Linked DNA regions of Zea mays. The protein of the gene in region 5 binds, or shares a complex with, the protein of the main gene of each other region. Links are inferred from orthologs where the notes say so. Each region holds a gene or a part of one and is shown on either strand. Other genes may lie near its edges.

Region 1 (3,971 bases), on a different chromosome or scaffold from region 5:
CAATCTTAAGTGTCATACTAATCTCCTGTCAACGTCTCGACCGATGGGTGCATCAATGACTTTTTAATGGGTGGTCTTTCCACAAAGGACATGCCACTAATATTGATAATGTTTACCATACGGATTTTGCATATCATAATGATATTTGTCGTTCCGTTTATATATTTCATACAATTTTTTTACTTCCGTCGCAACGCACGGGCACTCACCTAGTTGAAAAATATATACACATGAGATAAACTTCTTTTTGAGAAAAGAAATTATGGTTTGGATTTTTGAGAAATTTTAATATTGGTAATACTAGATTGTTACACCCTGCAACTACAAGGCAGGGCATTACCCATCAGCAATCATGCAACCAGTCAAACCAAGAGCAAGGTTGGCACAACGATGTGTCAGACATGGACAACACTAGCAGGCAAAACTGACTGCTCAAATGCTCGGCACGAAGAAGGCCACCTCATTAGCCACGCCCACTCATCTCAAAGAACGGACTTTGGCTGTCCTAGCAGCAAGAACGGACTTTGGCTGTCCTAGCAGCATTACAAGGTTTTGCCACCGCCACTTGACATGAGTGAGGCAGCAGCAGCGGCTGCTGTTGGAACGATTCCTGTCGAGTGTCCTGGTTTTGACAGATGCAGCAGCCTGCAGCAGATTTCCAAGGATTATTAAAACCAAAAAGGTGTTTGGTTCATTCTTATATGTTTTCTGATTGTTGCCTCGGAATTCAAGCTTTGGGGTACTTACGGGGCAAGATATTCACAGAACGCAGTGACAGCTGAAACAACATCATTGTAATTATCAGCAGCAGCAGGAGCTGTGATTTCCACTAGCTGTATGGCAGGAGTGACTGGCGTAGCTTCATCGGTTGCATGGAGCCTTGACATCTTGTTAGCAGATGTAACAGTGACAGTGATTTGGGCACCTCGGTGGAAACGAAATGCAAAACCGCTCTTCAAGAGTTCATGGTCTAGCTTGTACCCTAGGGTGTAGAAGTAGTGCAAGACGTTCTTGCTAGCTTTGCTCTCCACAACTGTACGAACCAGAACTGAGATTTGCTCCGCACCAGCACCTCTCATGGCACCACCAACATGTCTTATGGTCCTACAATCTTGTCACAATTAATGATAAACATAACAAAAGGTAGACTTTCAGCAGCTTGTCTCGGTTACCAGGATGGTGTGGGCTGAGCTAAGTCACACAACAAACGAACCTCCGATGGGACAACACCTGTATGATTGCAAGACGTCAGTTAATACGCCACATGTGTAGGAATGGAGGAGTAGACTAATCACAAACTAACCTAGATTGGGCCCACTTTTAAGGCAGAGCTCATGCACCCTAAAACGCTCTTTCGGGACACCAGAGAGTCCCTGGAGTAGAACCTCAAGAGCATCGACATGCTGCAAAATGGAAAGATCAAACAAAGGTTAAACTAATGGCAGAGCAGTACAACAAAGAGCAACTTACATTCTGTGCACAACACATAAACTAGAACATACCAAAAAATTAAGTTCCTCTCTATTGTAAAAGCACAAGGATAGATCATATGTTCCCCCAACTGTATATTAAATGTTACTATTCTGTTAACATGCTGAGAAGAAAAAAAACAAATGAAATCAAAAGCTCCAGAAGTAGTGCCTTAAAGCGCGGAATAAATTGTTGACATTTAGTGGTCTACATGATCTATCTATTTATCACTTCAATAAAATAAACTTTTGTTAGTATTTATCTGTGATGGAGTAAACAGAAAAGTGACCACCAACTGGCAACTATGGATAGTGGCCATACCTAAGGGAGCTCAACTGAACACTAAAATGAAGCTAGATTGTATGGTGCGTAAGCTCAACATTGTGCACTGTACATGTACATCAATATGAGATTGTTTTGTCCACAGCAACGGAATTCAATTAGTAACGAAATGTTCAACAACAAATTCAATACTATAAGTATATACTTACAAATAGATATTAACAATCTATACACCATTCAAAATACTTATCAAATCTAGATGCAAGCAGTGAGAGGAAAAGTTAATGTCTGATCTGCATAACAAAATAGACTGCACTAACGATGATGAAAGAGCTCCTATCTTTCAAATGTTAGTGGAATGCGTGAAAATCAAATTTTACATAAACCATCAGTGCCAACTTGCATTGTGGCACAATACCTGGTTCTCGATGATTCCCTGCACCACGCACTCCATCGATCTTCTACTGTCCCACAATGATTTTGCACCCAAAAAAAAAGAATCACGTTAGTGGATTTGTTATATGTGTATCAGGGGTGGACCAGTATGGCAGTAAAAAACAAAATTAGAAGTTAGTAGACATCAAATAGTTAGGTTAGAGTTCGGGAACTCGTTTTCGCACAGCGGGTAGAGAGAAGAAGGGGGTGGGAGTGGGAATACATTGAGAGCGTTCTTCGCCAGCGAATAGATCAGCGAAGGGCGTGGTGCCTATGGTGGCGACTGCGGTAGCCCGTCCAGTCGTCGCAAAGAGAGAGAGAGAGAGAGAGCGCGCGCGCACGCGGTGTGAAGGTGACGGATGCGGCAGCGGCGGCGGCGGCTGTAGCCCAGCTAGGGCCTGATCTGGGAAGAGGGAGGCTCGATAGGACTGAGGCACTGTCGGCGGTGCGAGCCGTGCGGCGCAGCGTCGACAGGAACAATGGTGGACGCGACGCGAGGAGGGAGACGGGAACGACCGGACGAGGGAGCCAGGCAGTGGACGGCTGGGCTTGAGCAGGGAGGTGGGCTTGAGCTGGGAGAGTTCACAGTCTCGTTTGGAATGATCCAAATTTCGTTTCGTTGACTAATCTTTTATTTTTTATATTGTTATATTTTGAATCAAATCCATTTAAAACGGACTGAAATTTGTTTTTTTGGTTAATAGCGAAAACGAAAAAAGTATCAAAATTTGGTGATCTCGGACAGAAAAGATAAACCGTGGGCTTGAGTCAGGATTGTTCAGCCTAGTCGCGGTGCGGGGGTTGTTCAGCCTTATTTGTCACTTTTTTTATTTTAATTTTGATAAGACCTAATAGGTTACTCTAGATATGTTATCACTTTACCTTTTTATTCCTAAATCACTTGATAGTTTTACTATTTCTTTACATGGTTTTGGGTTAATATTTCATTATATCCATGTTCCAATTATTTTGTTATTTTATTTTTATTCATGTCAAGATTATTATCTTTAATTGGAACATAGAGCTTAACTTGAGAAACATGTGTCACCACAAGAGAGGAATGAGACCCCTTGACTAACTAATTAGGAAAGCTAGTGGAAAACTACCTTACCCGAAAGGGGCAACGGCAGTAAGAGAGTTACATGCAGAGAGGTTCTCGGTTGATTTTGCTGCGATGGCGGTCAGACGGGGGATTCTTGCAAGTCGAAATCTAGTGGAACTTTATAAAGGCCTCGTAGTGTTGCCCTGTCTCGCTTCCTTGGTAGAGGTGTATGAGAGTCGCGATCCCTTGGTAGATGGGTAACATTACTTGTGGATACAGGGTACAGCCTCTGTAGAGTGTAAAACTGGTATACTAGCCGAGCTCATGGTCATGAGCAGCTCAGAACTGTCGCATGATTAATTAATGGAACTTAAATTCAATTTGTCATTTGCATTGCATGTGATTACTTATTAATTTTGTTCTATTATTTATTATGGTTTGGTATTTACTTACACTTAGTAACTGCTAATAAAATTTTGACCAACTTATAAAAGCAATGCTCAGCTTCAACCTTTATTTTGTTGATCAGCCTTACACTTCACATGAACTCTCACCTTTGGTGAGTTCATGCACACTAGTTTCCCCACAACTTGTTGAGCTATGATCATATGTGAGCTCACCCTTTCTGTCTCACACCCCCATAGGAGAAGAACAGGTGGTTCAGGAGGAGGCACACAATGAGGAGTTTGATCTAATCTAGGTGGCATCTCCCAGTTGACTTATTGGCGCTAAAGATGGATTT
Region 2 (3,901 bases), on a different chromosome or scaffold from region 5:
GTTCCAGGTCTTAATATATTCTTAAATTAATCGACCAGATACTCAGATCCTTTTCTCACATGATACGGAGTAGTATCATTCAGCATGTTACATTTATCAAAGTCCGGTATACTTATGGAGCTAATATTTTATCTAGCTCTATTTTCTGAATTTGGCATTGGTTACAACCTTTAAAGTTTCTGTACAGATTATCTCATTTCAGCTCTATTTTTTAGGTACACTGCTTATATTGAGTCAGTGGCCAAATTTTAACAATCAGTTGTGGTCTTAATCCATGTTACTGTTGTTGGTATGATAATGCACTTTGCTCACCATATCATCTATGTTTTTGGTATGATAATGCGTTAACGCGTCTTAATCCATGTTGGATGTAAACGCATGTTTTTTCTGCTAATGCTTCCTCTGTCCCAAATTATAAAACATTTTGGCATTTCTAGGTTCATAGCTTTTGCGTATCTATACATAATATATTTCTAGGTGTGTAGCAAAAACTATTGATCTAGAAAAGCCAAAAAATCTTATAATTAGAAATGGAGGGAGTAGTTCATAGTCCTCAGCCAATTCTCTTGAGTGCAGCCATCAAATTGTGAAATTGTACTTTGTCTACAGATCCTATAATATCGATACAAACAGATTATGACATCTCCACATTTCTGCTTACTTCCAATAGTTTATCAGCATACTGTCATGTAGCATAGTCAAATCTTTTTTTTCTGCACATAATAGATTAACATACATTTGAGATACAGTGATGGGCATATCTGGTTTCTTGGTAACCATCTTACTAAATTACTGTTCAATTCAGTTCGTGCTTTTGTGAAAATGACTAGTGAATATACTCTGAGAACAATGAAAACCAGTACTGCTTTGTTAACTCAAATATCATGAATCTGTAGGGACCATAGCAGTGGTGAATAAAACTTTGGATCTATAGAACGATAAAGGAACTAAGGTGCTGTTTGGTTTATATGTTTGTAATGTAATAGGTAACAAATAACGTTAAATCATGTTTGTTTAAGTCCAACTGTAATTGGATACCACACTACAAATTGATACCAGCCTATTCAAACTTGTTACCCCTGGTAATCGAATGCAAATCATTACCGTTACCATTTACGTTACATTTTAGGAACCAAACGGCACCTAATTTAAGTCGTGAGTTCGAAGCTCATCCCTTTCCTAGACCCCACTCGTGTGAGAGCCTCCAGCACTGGATCAGCCCTTTTTTAGTTTTTTTGTCTATCTCAAACCAGGGATCCCAAGTTCCCAACCTTATCTCTTCACTCAACAAAAGAGTTGACTCAAAATCAAAAACTGCAACAACCAATCCCCATACACTGGCTGGTCCAAACAGGTACAGACTTAAAACTGGCGCAGCATTATACCCCCAGGTTTTTTTTTTCTGGTCATCATGTAATTAGATCTATATACCTCTCATGCTTTGTCACGACACTATAATTTTTTTTTATGGAGAGCAGCATTTTAGCAATCTGTGTAAAGATTGGGCAATAACCAATGGGCATAAAGACATTAATGCTGAGTAGTAGTATATCTCAAAATGGAAAGGTAAAAACAACAGCCAGCAAATCGCAATGATTTAGGTGCTGTTTGGTTCAAAAAATGTAACGCAAATGGTAATGGTAATAGTTTACGCTCGATTACTGGCGGTAACAAATTTGAATAGGCTGGTATCAAATTTTAGTACGGTATCTGATTACGGTTGGACTATAACAAACATGATTTAACGTTATCCATTACCCATTACGTTACAAATATATGAACCAAACGGCACCTTAGTTCATGTTCTTGCAAATATCAACACGCAAGGTTAATGCTGTCACTCATAGAAACACAGCAACGACAAGTTCTTTGTTTTCTATTGAAGGAAAAATGCTACAATTTTCATATGAGAAGGGCGATGCTACTAGTTTAATTCAGTAACTCCATAGTCCATACCTACTGGGCACCCTCCTCCGGGTGTTGCCCTCCAGCGCCGGCATTTGGGGTAGCGGCACCGCCACTGCCGCCGGTCCCTTGAGCAGAGGCGCCGTGCTGGAGCTCGATGACGAGCCATCGGACGGCCTTGCTCATCTGCTCGAGGCGGACGGCGCTGATGGGCTTGATGCCGGGGGCGGCAACGGATCCGGCGGAGGCGGACCCCGTGGCCTCGTCGACGAGGCACTCGGAGCCGATGCGCTGGCGGATGGACTCGACGAGCTCTTCGGCGTGGTCGCAGGCGACGCGGAAGATCTCCCAGCGCTGCTTGAAGGCCTCGAGCGCGGCGTCCGTGGCCGCCGTCTTCTTCTCGCCGCCCGACTGTACGCGGGCCTCCACCACAGCCGCCGCCGCCGCCATGAAGTCGTCGTACGCCGCGCTCAGGTGGTCCACAGTCGCCTCCATCCCTCCCTCACCCCCAGCTTCTGACGATCCAATTCGGCCTCAGCCCCCAATTCGACACGACGACCCCGAAACCGAAAGCAAAGCGTGAAAACAGGAAATGCCGAAATGGCCCAATCGATATCGGGTCGAGATCAGGATGGGCCTTTTTATTCGACATACGCATCTGGACCAGGGCTAGAGATTGTAGGCATGGATTTTTTTCTAAAAAAATAATATTGTTTTCCCAGACCGTATAGTAAATAAATTCTAAAAATTACATTATTGGACGCGTGTTGTTGGGAAGCTCGCGATCAATCGTGCGGACAGAACGTAGGAAGTGGCGGATCCAGAGCTACTATACGTGGTCTTTTTTTTACAAGACTCTCGTTTATCCTAATTGTTTTAGAATTAGAATCATCTTTCTTCTGGTTCTTGATGAAAAATTTATCCATCCTATTCTTATAAGCATGGGATTACTACCAAATAAATAATCAAATCAAAATTTCAAATCAAACTTAAAGCAAACAATAGCACATGTTTCACCTTCACTGCTTGTCTGCTTCACAGATCACAGCTTCACCTTCGTTGCTTCTGCTTCGCAGTTCGCATGGGACGTCCTATTCCTGCATGATCTGTCACAGATTAGCAGAAACTCTCTTGGCCTCCTATTCCTTCATCGTCCCAAACTCCCAACAGAACAAGGAACCCCCAACAGAAAGCTTGGAGGGGCATTGGCACACGCCGCACACCGCGCATGGCATTATGGCAAGGCCATACATCACTGGCTGTCTGGCTCATCACTCCAATGCAAGAACAAGCTAATAGCTAAGCACACTTTCTTCTCAGCGCGTGTGTACAAACCTGAGCTCCACGAATTAGCAGAAGGAGGGAGCGCGGAGTGGCGGCTGGACAGCGGCGTGGTCAAGGCGGTGCTCCGGGCGGGGCTAGCGGCGGTGTTCCGGCGGTCCGGCCTCCGGGCGAGCGACGCTGCGGGTTGCAGCGGTGCTCCGGGCGTCGGGGCGTGGGCGGTTGGAGGCCTGAAGCTCGTGGGTAGAGGGAGGAGGAGCGACCTACGACTGGGAGGCTGTTCACGCGGTCGCGCGGCTGGAGCTGATGGGCTTATTCGCTGATTTTTGGGCCGCGACCGGGCTGCAGCCCAGGCAGCCCCAGCCTCGGTTGGAGATCCGCCACTGAATGTAGGAAGAGCTGAGTGGTGTGTTGGCTTACTGCTACGATTGTCCCTATTGATTGTGACTCTGATTAGATAGTTCTAGACATGTCATCTGGCTTGACATGTAACCAAATGGGTGTGTTATTATCAGTGAATCACTCTATTAATACACAATACGTAGTATATTAAACGTTACCGTACATTGAAAGCAATTGTTGGGGGTAAGCCTTTGCAGGAGGTCCTTAATTAAAATCAACTAATCTTAACCACTTTATCATTTATTCCGAGAGCAACCAATTCATGTTTGCCGAAGGTCGCTAATGCAGGTTAAAAGAGGAACAGAAGAAGCTT
Region 3 (3,572 bases), on a different chromosome or scaffold from region 5:
CTGTCGCGGGCGTCGGTGGCCATGAACGCCTACTACCAGGCCCGGGGGAGGAACTCGTGGAACTGCTTCTTCAACGGCACCGGCATAATCACCATCACTGACCCCAGTGAGTGCTTCCTTGCTTGCTGTGAGTGTCTCATTGCCCGTGAACCGTGTTGGGGGAGCTGACACCGGATGATGGATCATTGGATCCTCTTGCAGGCCTTGGCACCTGCAAATATGCTTGACACGACGGGCTGCTCTGCTGCTGCTGTGCTCAACGGACGATGAATAAGGCTGTAGGGGAATGATGCATCTTTTCCTTCTCTTTGTTTTGTTATTGTGTCTGTGTGAGTGAGCAGGGAGTATCCTTGCAGAACCAACCAGTATCATGTCTGAGCACTGTAGAGAGAATTTCCGTGCTTTTATTTCCCAAATACAGTTCTACTCCAGGCCAGTGGCTGGAGGGGAGTTTAGGAACAGGTGTCAAAGGTCTCAGGTACTGAACAAATACCAAAATATAGAAGAAATCCCAGAGGAAGCCAGGTGCCAGATCCATTAAAAAGACCACCACAGTTCAAGCGTCAGTTCATACTAAAAACATTGCACCTTACAACCAAAGGTCAATCCTAATCCGGCAGATCAGAATGCCAGTACACAAAAGCTAAGTGCAATTATTGTTCACTAGTAGAGAATCTGAAAAGACGGAATATAAAGTTCTTACTGGCATTCATCCTCCACACTCCATCCACAGGAACAGTTTCTTTTCAGCAAACCTGCTATGGCAGACATTGGATTTACGTCAACACAATATCTTATGAGCTAGATCGGTTTCCAACACTTGATGCCAAATACATACAAAACCAAGAAGTAACTGTTGGAGCCAAATTAAAAGAGAAATTGACTTTGACAGTGCATTGATAAGTTGTAGGAAGAAATTCATCTCAACTTACATTAACGTAATTAATCTAGCTTCTTAAAATTTATGCAATTGTCTGTTGCTTCATTAAACAGCACCTCAACCTGCTTCAACTCCCTTTCTGTAACGCAATGACATCAGTAATTAGACATATAATAGTAAGAACTCTAGAAACAGTGGGGATCGTGTTACCGGCAGCTTCAAGTTGCTTCTGGAGCTCCAGTCCCACGACTTCATTCTCTGCCTGCAAATTTCAGATTTTCATACAGTTTATTTGGAGTAGGAGTTTGGCAGATGCCCATCCTGTGCTCGATGAATTAATCTGACTGTCTGATATCTACCTGTAGCTCTTGGATTCTTTTCACTTGATCCTCTTCTGATGATAGTGGCACTGCTGCAACAAGTGCATCAAACTGCATAGAAGGCCATAATTGTTCCTCATTTAAGGGGAAAAAGTTGGAACTGCAGCAAGCATAATTTGAACTAAAGTTTGCCAGTCTTTACATTTCAAGTTTTCAACCATGGTTAACACAAAGTGATCTCCCTCACTCCCTCCCTCCCGTATGCATCACTCTACGTCTGTACGCTGTTGTTGGGATAAACATCTTATCTTAGGAAATGGAGCAAGAGATGAAGATTCTACGTCTGTACGCTGTTGTTGGGATAAACATCTTATCTTATGAAATGGAGCAAGAGATGAAGACTCTACGTTATGTACATTGTTGGGATAAACATCTTATCTTATGTAATGGAGCAAGAGATGAAGATTGTTCTGTACACTGTTGGGATAAACATCTTATCTTATGCAATGGAGCAAGATATGAAGACTAGTAAGTGGCAACACGGTTTCATTGTTTGTCTCCACATAACGCGGGCAAGCAAGCAAAAATTAAACAGTTGGTCCTTCACTTATTCGCAGCATCAGACTTACGAGTAAAACTACGAAGCGAGCCGAAACTTTCTACTTAACCACACAAAGATATTTTGGAATCACCGGGCGGGCATTTGGTCCAGAAGATGGGGACACCGAGAAGAGAAGTGGGGCAGGGTACCTACCTTCTTGGCCGCGAGGACGAGGGCGCGGCTCATAGCCTTGGGTTGCTCGGTGAGGTCAGGCGCGGGCGGCTGCGCCTGCGCCTGCGCCTGCGCCGGTGGCGGCGGCGGCGCGCCGGGCTGGGCCTGGACCTGGGGTTTGGAGTCGTCCTCGGGCTTAGGGTTGGGGTTGAGCGGGTCAGGGTAGCTGCTGGAGAGGCGGTCCGGCGGCGCGTCCCTCTGCAGCGTGCCGAAGGTGTTGACGGCCAGCACGGCCATCTCGTCGAGCTGGTCCTGCAGCTGCGTGATGATGTCCATGCCGAATCCCCACCACTCTCTCCCTCTTCTCCTTCCTCCGTCCCAGACTTGCAGGACGGCGGCTTTATTGTAGCAGGCCGATTTCATCCAGGAATGGGTCTGCAGGATCCAGCCCACGTAGCATGGACCAGGCCGGATCTAAAAAATGTATGTGCCGGTATTCAAAAGATGCTCGCTCATATTCCTGGGATACCACCAAGTCTTCCGGTCACCACACATTTGCAGAATGCTGAGCCATCGGCAATTTTACCATTGTCATTTATAGGCTTCATTAATATGACGTCGGACCCTAAATTATAGACACAGATGATTCTATCAGTTATAGATATGGGATAATATAATAAAGTCAAAACTGAGAGTGACAAAATTATAAATTGTTTGGCACCAAAAGGAGCGCGGACGGAGGCCGGACAGTCCGCGGTCCGGACAGTCCGCGCCTGTGGGCCGGACGGTCCGTGCGTGCGCAGAGTAAATTAGGGTTCCGAGTTTTGTGCTATGTTTGTTAGCTAAAATCGCGGGAAAAGCTCGGAAATTAGTTTGTAAAGGGTCCAGCCCCCTCCTCTATAAATAGAGAGGTATACGGCCGATTTGTAATCATCAATCGAATCAATACAACTTATATTTCACATTTATTTCCTGTACAATTAGGAGTAGTTCTAGTCTAGTTCTAGTTTAGCCTCTCGATCCCCAAATCTTCCGCCTCTCCTCGACTCTACGTCGATTAGAGAAGTCTAGGTCAGTCTACCCGAGCCTAGACACCACCTAGGATCTCTCCTCCCCGACGGGGTCCCTCCCGGGAGCGAGATCCAGGCGCCGCCGGCGATCTCCCGCCGCCCCTGCGCACGCGCGGACCGTCCGGCCCTAGGGCGCGGACCATCCGGCCGTCAGGCAGGGAACCTTAGCTCCTGCGCCAGGTCGCGGACCGTCCGGCCCTGTGTCGCGGACCGTCCGCGCCTGACCAGAGAGCACCACCGCCTCGCGCCAAGTCGCGGACCGTCCGGTCCTGTGCCGCGGACCGTCCGCGCCTGACCAGAGAGCACCGCCGCTGGTTTTTTTAAGTGATTGGCGCCTCCAAAAAGGTGTCAACATACTTTTTGGCGACTCCGCTGGGGACACAAATATAGACGCATCAAATCGGCCCTCAATGGCCGGTTCAAGAGATAGCTCTAATATTTCCCCAAGCAACATCATAGAGCCGACTTAGGAGACCTTGCCGGCTGACGAACAGCTCCAGTTCGAGGAGCACAAGGAGCAGATGATCCAGGAGGCAAAAGCGAGGTTCTTGGCCAACTTCAAAGTGGACAGGAACAACAAAGTCGTCCGA
Region 4 (3,616 bases), on a different chromosome or scaffold from region 5:
CTCATCCAATTATCTCCAATCCATATGAATTGTGATGACAAGGATTATGTCCTTAGGTCTTGTTCATTTTATAGCAAAATCATATGGATTAAGGTGTATTGAAATGGATTGAGAAAGATTTTGACTAGTAGTGGATTACTGAACAACCTGGCAGTGCACCTTTAGGAACGGAGATAAAACACAAAGTGTTTTTTTTCGCTTGCTCGTGTATTCAACGTAGCAACTGTGCCACTTGGCTCGGCTTTTTGTCAGGAGAAGGTTCTGTTCGAGCTGATCCAGGCACAAATGGAGTAAAGATAGAAAGGAACTTGCGAACATGGCGGCCATCCAGAGTAGGCACATAACCCGCTAGGCTGACTCCAACAGTTCACCCAAAGTTTACCCATAAATTCACCCAAAGTTTACCCATAAAGACAGGAAGCCGTTAGCATTCTATGTCGTTTTATGATGGCAGAGACTCATTTTGCACAACAACAGAGACCATGGGGCAAGTAAAGGTACACAATCAAACATAGATAAAGTGGGCTTTGTTCGTGGCTTCCAACCTTAAGAAACCAACAAAAGGCGATTGCTAACCATGGCGTCAGATTCTAAGCACATGTACACAGTTTTATAGGGCATAACATAACATTTGGTCACCTAGAGGTTCATGATCACTACAAGGTAAACCGCAGAATCGCACTCCTCACACCCTTTCAAGCTCCGTGATGTGCTTGCTCAGCTGCTCCTTCAGTTCCTTTTGCCACCCTTCAATCAACTTCTTGTGCTTGGCAATGAGCTCAGACTTGCTCTTCAACTCTTCCTCCATTGTCGTAATCTCCTGTGCAATGCAAAACCGAACATGCCAACGAGATGATAAATATTGGGTGGGTATATGTATCCCAAATTCCTAATTAAGACCAGCAACTATGCACCTGTGATTCTCTCAACTACTGCAAAGGCATTTTTTTACAGAAACGTGTGCATGAAAAATTCATGAGCACAGAAGGTGTTAGGTGTATGAATGTGATTGGGTGTTCCTTGGGAACATTACTTTGTAGAAGTGACGATTCAGGCAGGCTACCAGTTCTTTCAATAATGAACACCTCAACTTCGAGTAGAAATATAGGAGTCTTTGTAATAAAGCTTATACTGAGTGTAACAAACTGCCTGTAGCAAGTAGCACTATGTGATTTATAAAGTTGGCTATTCCTAAGTATAGTGCCAACCACAAATGATCACAGTACTTGGGATGATCATATCATGTGAAATGTCAATCCTATCACCAATGAAAACTTTTAAGGGAGTGTTTGGTTTGAGGAGTCACTCAATCCAAAATGATGTGGTGTATAATGAGTCCATTCCTCAAATTTGCTGGGATGACCTTATTTCTCATATTAGTACTAACTAACTATAAGGAATGACTCCATTCCTTATTTCATTCCACAAATCAAATAAAAAAAGAGAAGTGAGAAGACGATGGACTAGCTCATTCCTCAAACCAAACACTTTATAATTAATTCATTCTCCATAACCAGTCCCCAATTTAATTTAACTACTATCCTTGCCGCACTCTTAACTATACGAGGATAAAGTAGAAATATACCTTTCGAAGCATCTCTTCTGCAGATGGCGGTTCCTCACGCTGCAGGCTGATGAAATAAGACTGGAGCTTCTTGGCAGCCTCCATGAAATCCCTTGCGTGCCTCTCAACATCAACTGCCCAATTTAGTAGAGACTACAACACTTAGATACCCTGTTTGGCAGGAACGAATGAGAAAATGCAATTAAATTTCTCTAATAAGCATTGCACACTATTAAGTCGGTATCTAAAAATGTGATTTACTTCTTTAATAAGCATTGCAATGTGATTGCCTGATTGGTACAGTTGATACAAGTTGAGTTCTCAGTCTAGGACCTAAGAAACCAATCGATATACAATTTCCTGGGCACAAGAAAGATGCAAAATCTTCCTCTAGAAAGAGCAAGATCCCTTTATCCATCCCGTAGGCAAAACAACGAACATGTGGCGCGCGACGGCGCCATTAACCGACCGAACACCATGAGACTTTACTGGTGTCGAAGCCGTGCCGGATCAAAGTGAAGCTACCTCTAGAGGAGGAGAGTGGGGAAATGATGGGGGTCGGCCGTACTCTGGTGGGAGGACTGGAGGGAGCGGTCGACGGCCTGGAGCTCGCGCGCGGGGAGGCACGGCAGCAGCGCGGCCTCCAGCGCCGCCACACACGCCAGCATGTCCTCGAGCCCACCCGCCGCGGGAGTCTGCTGCGTCGGCGGCGGGGGCGGCGTCTGCGCTGGCGACTGCGACGGCGTCGGCTCAGCCATGACGGAGAATGCGGAGAGAGGACCCGGAGAGATTGGGAGCGCTTGGGCCTCCGATTTGCTATTGACAAGGAGGAACTTTCCGTTGGATTGAAGACGCACGGCTAGGATTGGTTTACAAATGGCGTGTTCTGCGCCTGGATAGGCATAGGCTCGAGGGCTGAGGCTGCCTTGGCTGAAGGAAAGCGCATAGTTTGTTCAGGCTGACAATTTTCTGAAATATTTTTTCTTTTTTATAATAGCACACTTCTTCATATTTTGGTGCCTAAAATTTAGGCAACACTCTTATATACCACTGATTGCTAATAAAGGACCATTTGGATCCTTTTATTTTCAAAGAATTGGAATTTACTCCCTCCAGTCTTCAAATATTTGATGTTTTGGACATGACCTCATATACCAAGGAGCTATTAAATAGGGTTGTTATTTTCCATAATACCCCTAATAAATACGCTTAGATTCCACAACAAACACATGAAGATGTTAGCCTAGATGGTTGGGTCCTAAAGAATTTTACACTAGGTCGTGAGATCAAACCTTCACGATAAGAATAATTAAGCATATGTGGAAGAATGTGTGAACCACTTATATCAAGGGTATATTAGTCCAAAATAAGCTTCAAATGCTTCAACATCAAGCATTTGCTAGTCCAAAATAAGCTTCAAATGCTTCAACATCAAGTATTTGCATCCAAAGTGAAAATCACTTAAACATCAAGTATTTAAAGACTGGAGGGAGTATTTAATAGAGTAGGTTATTTGATTTGAATTTGATATTACACCACTTTCCAAAGTTTAGATATAAACTCATCTCAAATTCATAAGATGGGGTGGAAATTGATTTTATGTATTCAATTCTACGTTTCTACTCTGTAATTTATAACACACTCTTCTACTCACTCTCCTATAGTAGAAATGTAACATATAAATATCTCTCAAATATGGCCAACACTAATATACAAATATACTCACTATAAAACCATATTAGTTTAATTGATTTATGTCTAAATTACAATTATTATATTAGAATTCAATTCCAAGGGTCCAAAGGGGGTCTAAGACTATAATTTTATTGTTTACCTTTATGTTATAACCTATATTTTTTCCCTTAGCTAACTACTAAAATAATTGCAAAATGTTAATGGTCTTTATGTCAACACAAATCAAAATCTACCAAATTTATGATTTTGTTCAATAGATATTTTATTCTTAAGAGTAAAAATGTAGATTATGTCTATATAAATTACAACACACTAAAAACTAAAATTCAGGTACCTAAAATTTAGTAAATCACTTAA
Region 5 (4,253 bases):
TATCAACACCATGGGAAGATGACTGATGTCATAAAAACAGAATGAACCAAAGAGGTTTTCAATTCAAAAGAGTGATAACAATAGAAGATAGACCCTTTCTAATATCATAATAATAACTCAGTTATAACAGAAACCTGAATCTGATTTCCCTGGCTGTTGACACTATTAGGTGCAAATGTTGACATATTTTTGGGATAACTACCTGCAAATACAAATAGAAATTAGATGTGCATTTGTCAAATACATCTCCAATGCAAATGCCAAAGAGTTAAGCATACAAGGAACTTCTACGGCACAAATCTCCCATTAATATGGCAAATGTTAAACATATAAGGAACTTTTACAGCACATATCTCAATGCAAATGGTCGTGATTTTAGCAATTGAGGATAAACACTAATCCTAGCACAATAGGAGTTCGGTCTATAGCGCATGAAAATGAGACAATCGACAGATGTTAAAACTCAAAACGAGGAGAGGTTCATTAAGAGAGTTTAGATACACAAGAAAATCTACATACCAGAACTATCACCAAAATTTTGTGCACCGTCTCCTAAAGGAAGCACTTCTATCAGATGGATAGGAAGAGATTGTGGATGCCTCTGATCTCCAGGTACCCGTAATCCTGGCATTCAGATAATTTTAGTAAGGCTATAAGTATTGAAATTGTAACACAAAATAGAAGTAAAAAGGACTCTTTATTTTGGAAATCTAATTGCATTTTTTATTAATATTGACCAAGCACTATGCCTTTCACCTTCACCATAATTTACTGCTGCTCTAAGTAGGCCTTCCTGCTCCTGTATCTTTGCAGCTTGTGCTTTGTCCAATGTAGGACCAAGATTTGTCCCCTGACGGCTTCCCAGCCCATAGCTCTTACGGCATTCTGCAATTACTTTCTCAGCAGTTTCGCATGCACTCCCAATCATGTCTATTCTAACCTGAAAGGGATGGTACCAGGTTCATTCTAATTAATAGATAGCCGATAAATCAAGCTAGCAACACATGCTATAGGTTTTCATTTTTCATACTAAATTGGTCACCTTTAATTTTTCAATCTGTGTAGGCACAGGTAGATTAGTTATTCCAGACAATAGTTGCTCTCTCTTAGTAGTTTCCTCAACTTCCATCTCAGGCAGCAGTTTTGACGACAGCATTACAGGTAGTACTGCAATATTCATAAGGATTATACTGCAACTCTAATAATAAATAACTGTACAAACCATTGATAGTATGCAAAATGGGAACACTAGATGACAATGCATCAGAACAATTAGAATGACCATTTCCAATACATTTTTGTTGGGTCATTTGCACTGTGTTTATTTATCTCAGAATAGCTTGCCATGAAATTAAGGCCATGGCTAGTAGAAAACTTCAAAAGTCTGAAACCTAATTCAGAATTTTGATTAGTGGACAACTGGAAATAAACATCAGTTGACAGTAAGAAAAATCTTAGATTGAATCTTCATGTGTAATAAAACTTGTGAGAAGACCCCAAAGAAACGGCACAGCAAAGTATTAGCCCAACTGGTCATACTTGTAGTCATCATTCATCCTTACTTTAGAAACAAAATCATAGGGTTTTTTTCTAAAAATATATGGAAGCATAAATGAATCGTATAATCTCATCATGTGTTGAAAATCATAATCTCATTAGGTGTTCACCAATACTGGACCATGAACAACGAAAGACTATTTAGTGTTGGGTCAAATAAGGGAAAATGTTTGATGGATTCCTTTGGACTCAATACAGTTGGTTACATAGCAAAACTTCAACACATAAACTGAGCAAATTTTCATATCAGATAATTTCTTCCCAAATTACATGCTTCCATTGATAATCTTTCAGAGAGGTTGTTGTTCATGTCTTGATTGAACCAACCAAACTTTTACAAACAAGGGCAAAGAACTCTTAATGTCTTTGGAAATTGTTGTCCCTGAACTGGAGATGATTTATTTCATGACTGAATCAGTAAACCATGCAACTAGAACATAACCAACAGATGTTAAACTCCCCTATGTTAGATCAACTAAATATTAATTATGATTTCTAAGAAAACAAATACCATTACGTGATAACCAAATTGACACAGATAACAAAAGATATATGCATATCCATAAAGGGGAAAAAACTCAGAACGGCATACTTGTTGCATTCTCGGCATTGACATTCCGGGGGTACACGACAAACACCTTGGACACATTCTTAATGTCCTCCACAATGTTGAAGAGCTCCATGCTCACCATCGAGAACTGCCCGAGCACGTCCTGCCTGCAATTCACCCAGAGGCAGCCATACCATACCAGTAAGCAATCGCGCAGCGACGCCACACGAGCAGAGGCATCCTAATTAAACCCTAGAATCCACTGCTGCCAGCCATCAGCCGATAGCCAATAAGAGGGGCGGGGCTGGGGATGAAGTTACCACTTGGGGGAGGCGCTGGGATTGGTGCGTATGATGACGTCAAAGTCCTCGAGGATGCGGGAGATGGCCTTGTACAGCCCCACCGCGCGCGCGCGCATCCCCTCCAGGTTCAACTGCTGCTGCACCCCCGCGCTGAGCCGCTCAACCCGGGGAGCTGCCTGCTGGTCCCCTGCGGCTGCGCCCGGAGGTGGCGCGCCAGCGGCGGGTACTGCACCTAGCGCGGCCGCCGCGGGGTCCATCGCCGGAAACTTGCGTTGGGGGCGGTGGCGTTGCGGCGGAATGAAAGGGGGTGGCCGGAGGCGGACTAATGGAGGATGTTTTCAGATCGTTATGGCGGTACCACCAGTTTGCGTGTCTGGCTCAGACTGACATGTGAGGGCCGGGGGACAGTCAAGTCAATTCTCTGCACTCGACAAAACATGTGTCCAGAATCCAAAAGTTCATAATGCAGAGTTCAAAATTTGGAGAAGTCCTAACAAAATGTATACCTAGATGAGATGAGCATACAGAGTCGTCATATATTAAACTATTTTTTATTTAACTAAACTTAGAGTTAATATACTTATACAAAAAGAGACGGTGGTATTTACACCATTAAATTGGTATCACTAAATATGTGTTTTTTGTGTCATCCTCACGAGTATACTGCCTGCAGCATGCTTCAAACTTTACAGAATTTGATGGCACGTACGCCTCCTAGTTCACACAGAGGAGCTGGGGCTAATTAAAGCCAACCTACAAGCAAACGGACTTTACAATGATAGTGTAGCCGATGCCTGATGATGCTAAGTTTGTTTAGCAGTTTAACAGGTATAGATGTCTATATTGGCCGGACAGCCAAATTTATCCGAAGCCTGGTACCAACCCGGCACGGCTCGCTGCGCATCGAGCTCGGGACAGCCCGGCACGGTGGACGTGTCGTGCTTGGGCTTTGAGGCCGGCACGTCGTGCTCGGCCCGACCCAGCACGAAAATGAGCCAGACACGGCGTCTGTCCGTTCCACGCCGCATAACACACATCGGCCCTGCCCCATGACGCACCCCCCCGGCATTCGCTCGCTCGAAACCCTAAACCTAATCCCCTCCCCTTCTCCCGTGGCTCCTACCTCTTGCTCCTTGGTGACCGACGAAATCTCGCCTCTCCCGCCGACGGCTACTGGTGACGGCTACCAGCGACGGCTTGTTTGGACATCTATACTCTCCTCATCTCTTCGCTCATCATCTTCCCTTCCTCACACCCGAATCCCAATAGAGTAATCCCCATCCTCGGCTCCTGACATCCTCTTAGCAGAGGTGTTCCTCCTCGCGGTGGTGCTCTCAAGGCGACTAAGGTGCTCCGGCTGCGCAGGTTATGTCCTGAACCCTAATCTCCATCCCCTTCTCTTGTGTATTAGATCTTGATTGGAATCCCATGGATGTGATGAATCTCCTAGGTATCGCTTGTGTCGGTGCCACGTAGCTGTCCAGGGACCCCAGTCGTCGGCGAGGAGCCATCTGTCTACGGCATGGACGATGACCTTCATCCGACCGTTGTGGACGAGGAGCACCGGCTAGAATATCATAACAAAGCAGAGGATGCCCGGATCCTATTTGGCAGTAGTGTTGCCATCAACATCGATAATGATGATGATGTCCCTGGTGCCGCCACCGGTGGTCAAGCGGGCACAGGATCCACGAGCCCGACACCGACCGGCACAAGCACCGCCGCCACCAGTTCCAGTAAGTGTCCTCTCAGATCTAAAGTGTGGCATGACTTTGATGAACCGACTCACCTTGTCAATGGTAAGATGGTATGGTATGGAGCCATTTGTAAGTACTGCAAGGTGA
Region 6 (4,246 bases), on a different chromosome or scaffold from region 5:
ACCATCGTCAAAAACATGTGCCTTAGTTGCGTGTACTTACATCTGTCTGGCTTGCCATAGGCTTTCTCTCGATAGCAACATGCTCTCGAGTTTGTTTAGGTTTCATGTCACCAAATGGTCTCTGTTGAGCTGCCTTTACTGGTCTCCCCGGTCCAGATTCATAACTTGAGGGATTATTAGACTGCTTGTTGAGCGCACCGTGAGGTTTGGCTTGCAAACTTGAACTTTGGAGGGTTTGTGGGTTCGCTTGCCTCATTGGTGGCTCTTGCCTTGCCAGTTCTAGCCTCCTGGGTTGAACTCTTTCGACGACTCCAGGATAAGAGCGAGGTGGATCTTGCCTTGCAACCGTTGAATGGCTTGCAAGTCTCCCACCATTGTTACCCCTCTTGTTTCCAAGGCTCGGGTCATTACTATGTCTCAAATCTGGCACCGTATGCGCAACGTTAATAATCATCATAATGTTAAAACCAAGCAATAAGCATGGAAAATTAAGAACTGCTAAATTGCTGTACTCACTTCCATCTTCATCCATTTCGTCAAAGAACTTTAGGTTGGGGAGATGGGAGGAAAAACAACAGACACAGAGTCAGATTGTTGTTAAACACAAATCCCAATCAGATGGCAGGAATTAACTATATCAGTACCTCAGAGAGTTGAATAGAAGTGGTTTGGGTGGCAAAGAAGGCCCCTTCGTCCAAAGGTGGAGATGGAAGCCCTTCCTCTTCTTCATCCACAACAGAAGGATTTGAAGAGCCAGGGGAGTTCTCTACAGCACCAAAGAACAAATATCCATATTAAGCTAAGATGCCAGTCTTCATTTAGAAACTGTTAGATCAATTCAATTCAGTTACCTGTCAGGGCAGCATTTGTGGTACTGACCCATTCATCAACCAAAACTTTCCAACCTCTGAAACACACAAGGTAACCTCATATGTCAACAACATTTCCAAGAACGCTAGCAAGAAGGCACTTCCAATGATTATGTAGCTAATCTACAATTGGTTGGTTGATATTTGATCAGTGATTTTGGTCTGCTATTAAGCACTTTGAAAGCAACAGAGAAGTAGCACTAGGGACCAAAATTGACAGAAATGAAGATGGAACTTACTCAATGAGAGTGCACACGAGGTGCCGAATCTCTCGTGAGTTGTGTTTCCGCAGCCGATTAACAGCTCTTCCAATCTCAGTAGCCTGCAATGAACAGTCCTAAGATTAAGAAACCAAACAGCCAGAGCAAACAGGGATCAACACATCAAATAGCTCATATGTACGCAATATCCATTTTGTACCTTTAGCGTAGAGACGGACAATTGCATCAACTGCAGCCTCCTCAGTGAATCGAACAAAGTGGCATCCGACTGCAGGAACAACATGATTTAGCTCAGAGGAATTCGAAGTTTAAGGACCTTATAAATAAATGAAGAAACGAGGCAGTCTGCCAGTACATGGTCTTCCTTGTGCAGGAGGAGTTCCTTGATGCGGAGGACCTCGCCGACGATCTGTGACTCCTCATCGATCTCATTGGTGAGCGCCTCGAGCTCCTCAGCGTCGTGGTCTTCCTCCCCTTCTTCAGTATCATCCGCGGCATGCTGCTGCTCATCTTCCTCCTGTTGGTCGCCATCTTCGTCATCATCATCGTAGTTGTGGCCATAGTTGCTCGCTGCGGCGCGGCGGAGGCGCTCGTCGTCAGAGTCAGAATCATCGTCCTCATCGGCGTGGCCATGGCCATGGCCGCCGCCGCCGTGGGTACCGTTGCTGCTGCTGTCGACCTTGCACTCCTTCTCGGCGACGCGGCGCACGCTGCCCTTGTCCTCCTCAACGGGAGTGGCCGGGGTGGTGGACGCCGCGGCGCTGCCGAAGGACGGCGGCGCCGCGTCGCGGCGGAGCGCGGTGAAGAGCCTCTCAGCGATGCGGTCGCGGCGGTGCAGGAAGTCCCGCGGCGCGTCGGCCGCCGCCACGAGGATGGCGTTCTCGATGACGTCGCAGATGCCAGCGCCGGCGCCACGGAAGAAGCCGCGCCACCGATCCAGCCCGTCGGCCATCGCCGCGGCCGCCACCGGTCCCCGCCGGGCCACCGTCGCCAAGATCAGCCTCCCCCGACCGCGATTCTCAGCAGCGCAGCCAAGGGCCGATGCTCCCCCTTCCTGCTTCTATCTGCTACCAAATTACGCCGCGCGCACCGGCACCAGAACCAAGAACCCAATCTCTCCCGCCCGCCCAACGGCGAATCAGATTCCCCCGAATCGGGGCCGGGGCAGGGGCAGGGGCAGGGGCAGAGTCACCAGCCAACCGATCGAGAAAACAGCGGAGGAACAAGAGCAGGGCGAATCCGGAGGCGGAAGGGATCGATCGCGAAGGAAAAAAACTAGCAGCGTGACCTTCCTCGGGCCCCACGTCCCCGTTCCTTGTCGGTTTCAACAACCTCACCGGGAGGGAGTTCCAGCGCGGCGCGGAGGTAGCCTAACCAGAGCAAATCTTATCTGGACTGCCTGGCTGACCCCTAGAGCGGAAGGAAGCGGGGAGGAAACACAGGGAAGGTGAAGTTGAAGACAGGAAGGGGATGACGATGAGACGGGCGGATAGGGACGGGGAAGGCAGGGTGCGCACACCCACGAGACCTACGCGGCTACTACTACCAAACACCAGCAACAACTAGTCTTTCTCCCATGGCCCATGCCTCGCCACCACTAGCAGCTGCAATTGCGGTAACAAACTGCAATTTACCAGAAGAAGCGAGCGAAGGGCAGCAGGACTCGGCCGTACTCAACCCGCAGGAGATGGCGGAAATGCTACGGGAGATGGGTGAGACGCGGCGTGGCTGATTCTTGTTGCGGTCGACTCGGGCGTCGGGGGGCGCCCTTTCCGGTCTCTTTCCTTCTCTCTCTCTCTGTGTTGAGGAGCAGTGCTGCTAGGTTGATGATGCTCACTCACAAAGTCACAGGGTGGTTTTCCATCATGATTATTGTTTAGTTGCGTATAATCTGAACTATTTACTATTTGGTAAAGCATATCTCTCTCGGGCCATAATTGCAAAGTCATTTGCGTACCGACTACCGAGCACAAGTATTTTCAGCACTGCACACAGCGTGTCATGTCAAATGGATGGGATGCCCTCACAAGCTTTATCATATATTTTTATTCTGTTTTCTTCATGTCGTATTTCAATGTTTAATCATTAATTTTTTTAAAAAATCCATATAAAGTCGGAACATGTACAATGTGTGTTAAATAAAAAATTTATTGTAGTGAATTTAATACAGCTTGGTGCGTGGTACTTGTTCTAGTTGATAGGTTGAATGAGACAATAAAGACGTAATTCTATATGAAACAACTGACGAGACATGAATATAACTTTTGAAAAAAAATGCTTGTCGTTGTAGGCAACTGTTGTGCATTTGTTTTTTAAAAAAAGACGGAAGACGAGTTTTTTAACACAGTCGTGCGACGCGCTGCACCTAGTACAGAGCAGGCTCTCAAGGTGGCAAAATCGTAAGACACAAGAGGTCCGCGATGCTTTGCAATACATGAGATGAGGAGTCGAATGCTATACTATAGGTTTCGCAATACATGAGATGATAACCCATGGTCGCAAAAAAACAAGAACGATAAGAATGGGTGACGGTATAATAAGTAAGATTGAACGAAAAGAGCGAGAGAGATGGAAAGAAAAAGAAGAAAAAAATCCTCTCCGGAAATCTCGGGAAAAGAAAAAAAAATACTATAGCCATCAAAATCTTACACCAAACAATCTGATGAAACTATAATAAACAGCGAAAGAAATGCATCGTCTGTTTTTGCAGTGTTAGCATCTTGATCCGAGCATCCTGGCTTATTCCCACGCCGCGCATAGATACTCCCATTTCAAAAGTGGCATGTGTTTCATGCTTTTTGTTGAGAAGGAATTCCGTCTCTGTATTTTGTCCCCTGTGCACTGCGTGCGCATCTAGCGTCTCCCACCAGTAGTGTGGGACAGTGGCTGGCTAGGGTTGTTTCGAGGTTCTTTTTTTTATTTTCATTTTTTTTAAATTTTCTACAGTAGTATGACTTACGCGGGTGTTCCATTTTGGAGTGGCTGCTGGGGTAGCCGAAGGGCCAGTCGTGTGTCCTTTTCACTAGCAACCATATGCTGGCTTCGTGTAGCAGCAGAGATAGTAGGAAGGAAAAAGGAAATGGAAGAGTATATATTAAAAAAAAGATAGATCGATAGATAGAGAGAGAGAGAGAGAGGAAACAAAAAAACTTCACT

Evidence for each region. The genes of interacting proteins can lie anywhere in the genome.
Region 1: mediator of RNA polymerase II transcription subunit 8 (region 5) and mediator of RNA polymerase II transcription subunit 18 share a complex: the UniProt entries of both Arabidopsis thaliana proteins name them as parts of the mediator complex. The link is inferred for Zea mays from reciprocal best matches to the Arabidopsis thaliana genes MED8 and AT2G22370.
Region 2: mediator of RNA polymerase II transcription subunit 8 (region 5) and Mediator of RNA polymerase II transcription subunit 32-like share a complex: the UniProt entries of both Arabidopsis thaliana proteins name them as parts of the mediator complex. The link is inferred for Zea mays from reciprocal best matches to the Arabidopsis thaliana genes MED8 and MED32.
Region 3: mediator of RNA polymerase II transcription subunit 8 (region 5) and Mediator of RNA polymerase II transcription subunit 21 share a complex: the UniProt entries of both Arabidopsis thaliana proteins name them as parts of the mediator complex. The link is inferred for Zea mays from reciprocal best matches to the Arabidopsis thaliana genes MED8 and MED21.
Region 4: mediator of RNA polymerase II transcription subunit 8 (region 5) and Mediator of RNA polymerase II transcription subunit 28-like share a complex: the UniProt entries of both Arabidopsis thaliana proteins name them as parts of the mediator complex. The link is inferred for Zea mays from reciprocal best matches to the Arabidopsis thaliana genes MED8 and AT3G52860.
Region 6: mediator of RNA polymerase II transcription subunit 8 (region 5) and Probable mediator of RNA polymerase II transcription subunit 26b share a complex: the UniProt entries of both Arabidopsis thaliana proteins name them as parts of the mediator complex. The link is inferred for Zea mays from reciprocal best matches to the Arabidopsis thaliana genes MED8 and AT5G05140.

The regions. Positions count from the first base shown.
Region 1 is NC_050100.1:126,532,858-126,536,828, forward strand, and holds mediator of RNA polymerase II transcription subunit 18, read right to left. Parts: upstream 2,801-3,971; 5' UTR 2,411-2,800; intron 2,217-2,410; 5' UTR 2,207-2,216; coding exon 2,171-2,206; intron 1,404-2,170; coding exon 1,304-1,403; intron 1,231-1,303; coding exon 1,173-1,230; intron 1,105-1,172; coding exon 748-1,104; intron 646-747; coding exon 543-645; 3' UTR 279-542; downstream 1-278. UniProt on the Arabidopsis thaliana protein: Component of the Mediator complex, a coactivator involved in the regulated transcription of nearly all RNA polymerase II-dependent genes.
Region 2 is NC_050101.1:142,578,410-142,582,310, forward strand, and holds Mediator of RNA polymerase II transcription subunit 32-like, read right to left. Parts: upstream 2,520-3,901; 5' UTR 2,401-2,519; coding exon 1,957-2,400; intron 714-1,956; 3' UTR 501-713; downstream 1-500. UniProt on the Arabidopsis thaliana protein: Component of the Mediator complex, a coactivator involved in the regulated transcription of nearly all RNA polymerase II-dependent genes.
Region 3 is NC_050099.1:37,999,035-38,002,606, reverse strand, and holds Mediator of RNA polymerase II transcription subunit 21, read right to left. Parts: upstream 2,249-3,572; coding exon 1,955-2,248; intron 1,312-1,954; coding exon 1,240-1,311; intron 1,143-1,239; coding exon 1,091-1,142; intron 1,020-1,090; coding exon 943-1,019; 3' UTR 933-942; intron 759-932; exon of another isoform or gene 756-758; 3' UTR 501-755; downstream 1-500. Other genes in the region: putative X8 domain containing family protein isoform 1 precursor, read left to right, coding at 1-106, 202-227. UniProt on the Arabidopsis thaliana protein: Component of the Mediator complex, a coactivator involved in the regulated transcription of nearly all RNA polymerase II-dependent genes.
Region 4 is NC_050103.1:84,916,337-84,919,952, forward strand, and holds Mediator of RNA polymerase II transcription subunit 28-like, read right to left. Parts: upstream 2,469-3,616; 5' UTR 2,323-2,468; coding exon 2,133-2,322; intron 1,699-2,132; coding exon 1,586-1,698; intron 821-1,585; coding exon 686-820; 3' UTR 501-685; downstream 1-500. UniProt on the Arabidopsis thaliana protein: Component of the Mediator complex, a coactivator involved in the regulated transcription of nearly all RNA polymerase II-dependent genes.
Region 5 is NC_050102.1:151,801,048-151,805,300, forward strand, and holds the start of mediator of RNA polymerase II transcription subunit 8, read right to left. Parts: upstream 2,801-4,253; 5' UTR 2,667-2,800; coding exon 2,428-2,666; intron 2,275-2,427; coding exon 2,150-2,274; intron 1,168-2,149; coding exon 1,043-1,167; intron 941-1,042; coding exon 757-940; intron 625-756; coding exon 520-624; intron 203-519; coding exon 135-202; intron 1-134. UniProt on the Arabidopsis thaliana protein: Component of the Mediator complex, a coactivator involved in the regulated transcription of nearly all RNA polymerase II-dependent genes.
Region 6 is NC_050103.1:106,778,689-106,782,934, reverse strand, and holds the start of Probable mediator of RNA polymerase II transcription subunit 26b, read right to left. Parts: upstream 2,801-4,246; 5' UTR 2,043-2,800; coding exon 1,446-2,042; intron 1,359-1,445; coding exon 1,290-1,358; intron 1,192-1,289; coding exon 1,109-1,191; intron 908-1,108; coding exon 852-907; intron 767-851; coding exon 645-766; intron 545-644; coding exon 517-544; intron 424-516; coding exon 41-423; intron 1-40. UniProt on the Arabidopsis thaliana protein: Component of the Mediator complex, a coactivator involved in the regulated transcription of nearly all RNA polymerase II-dependent genes.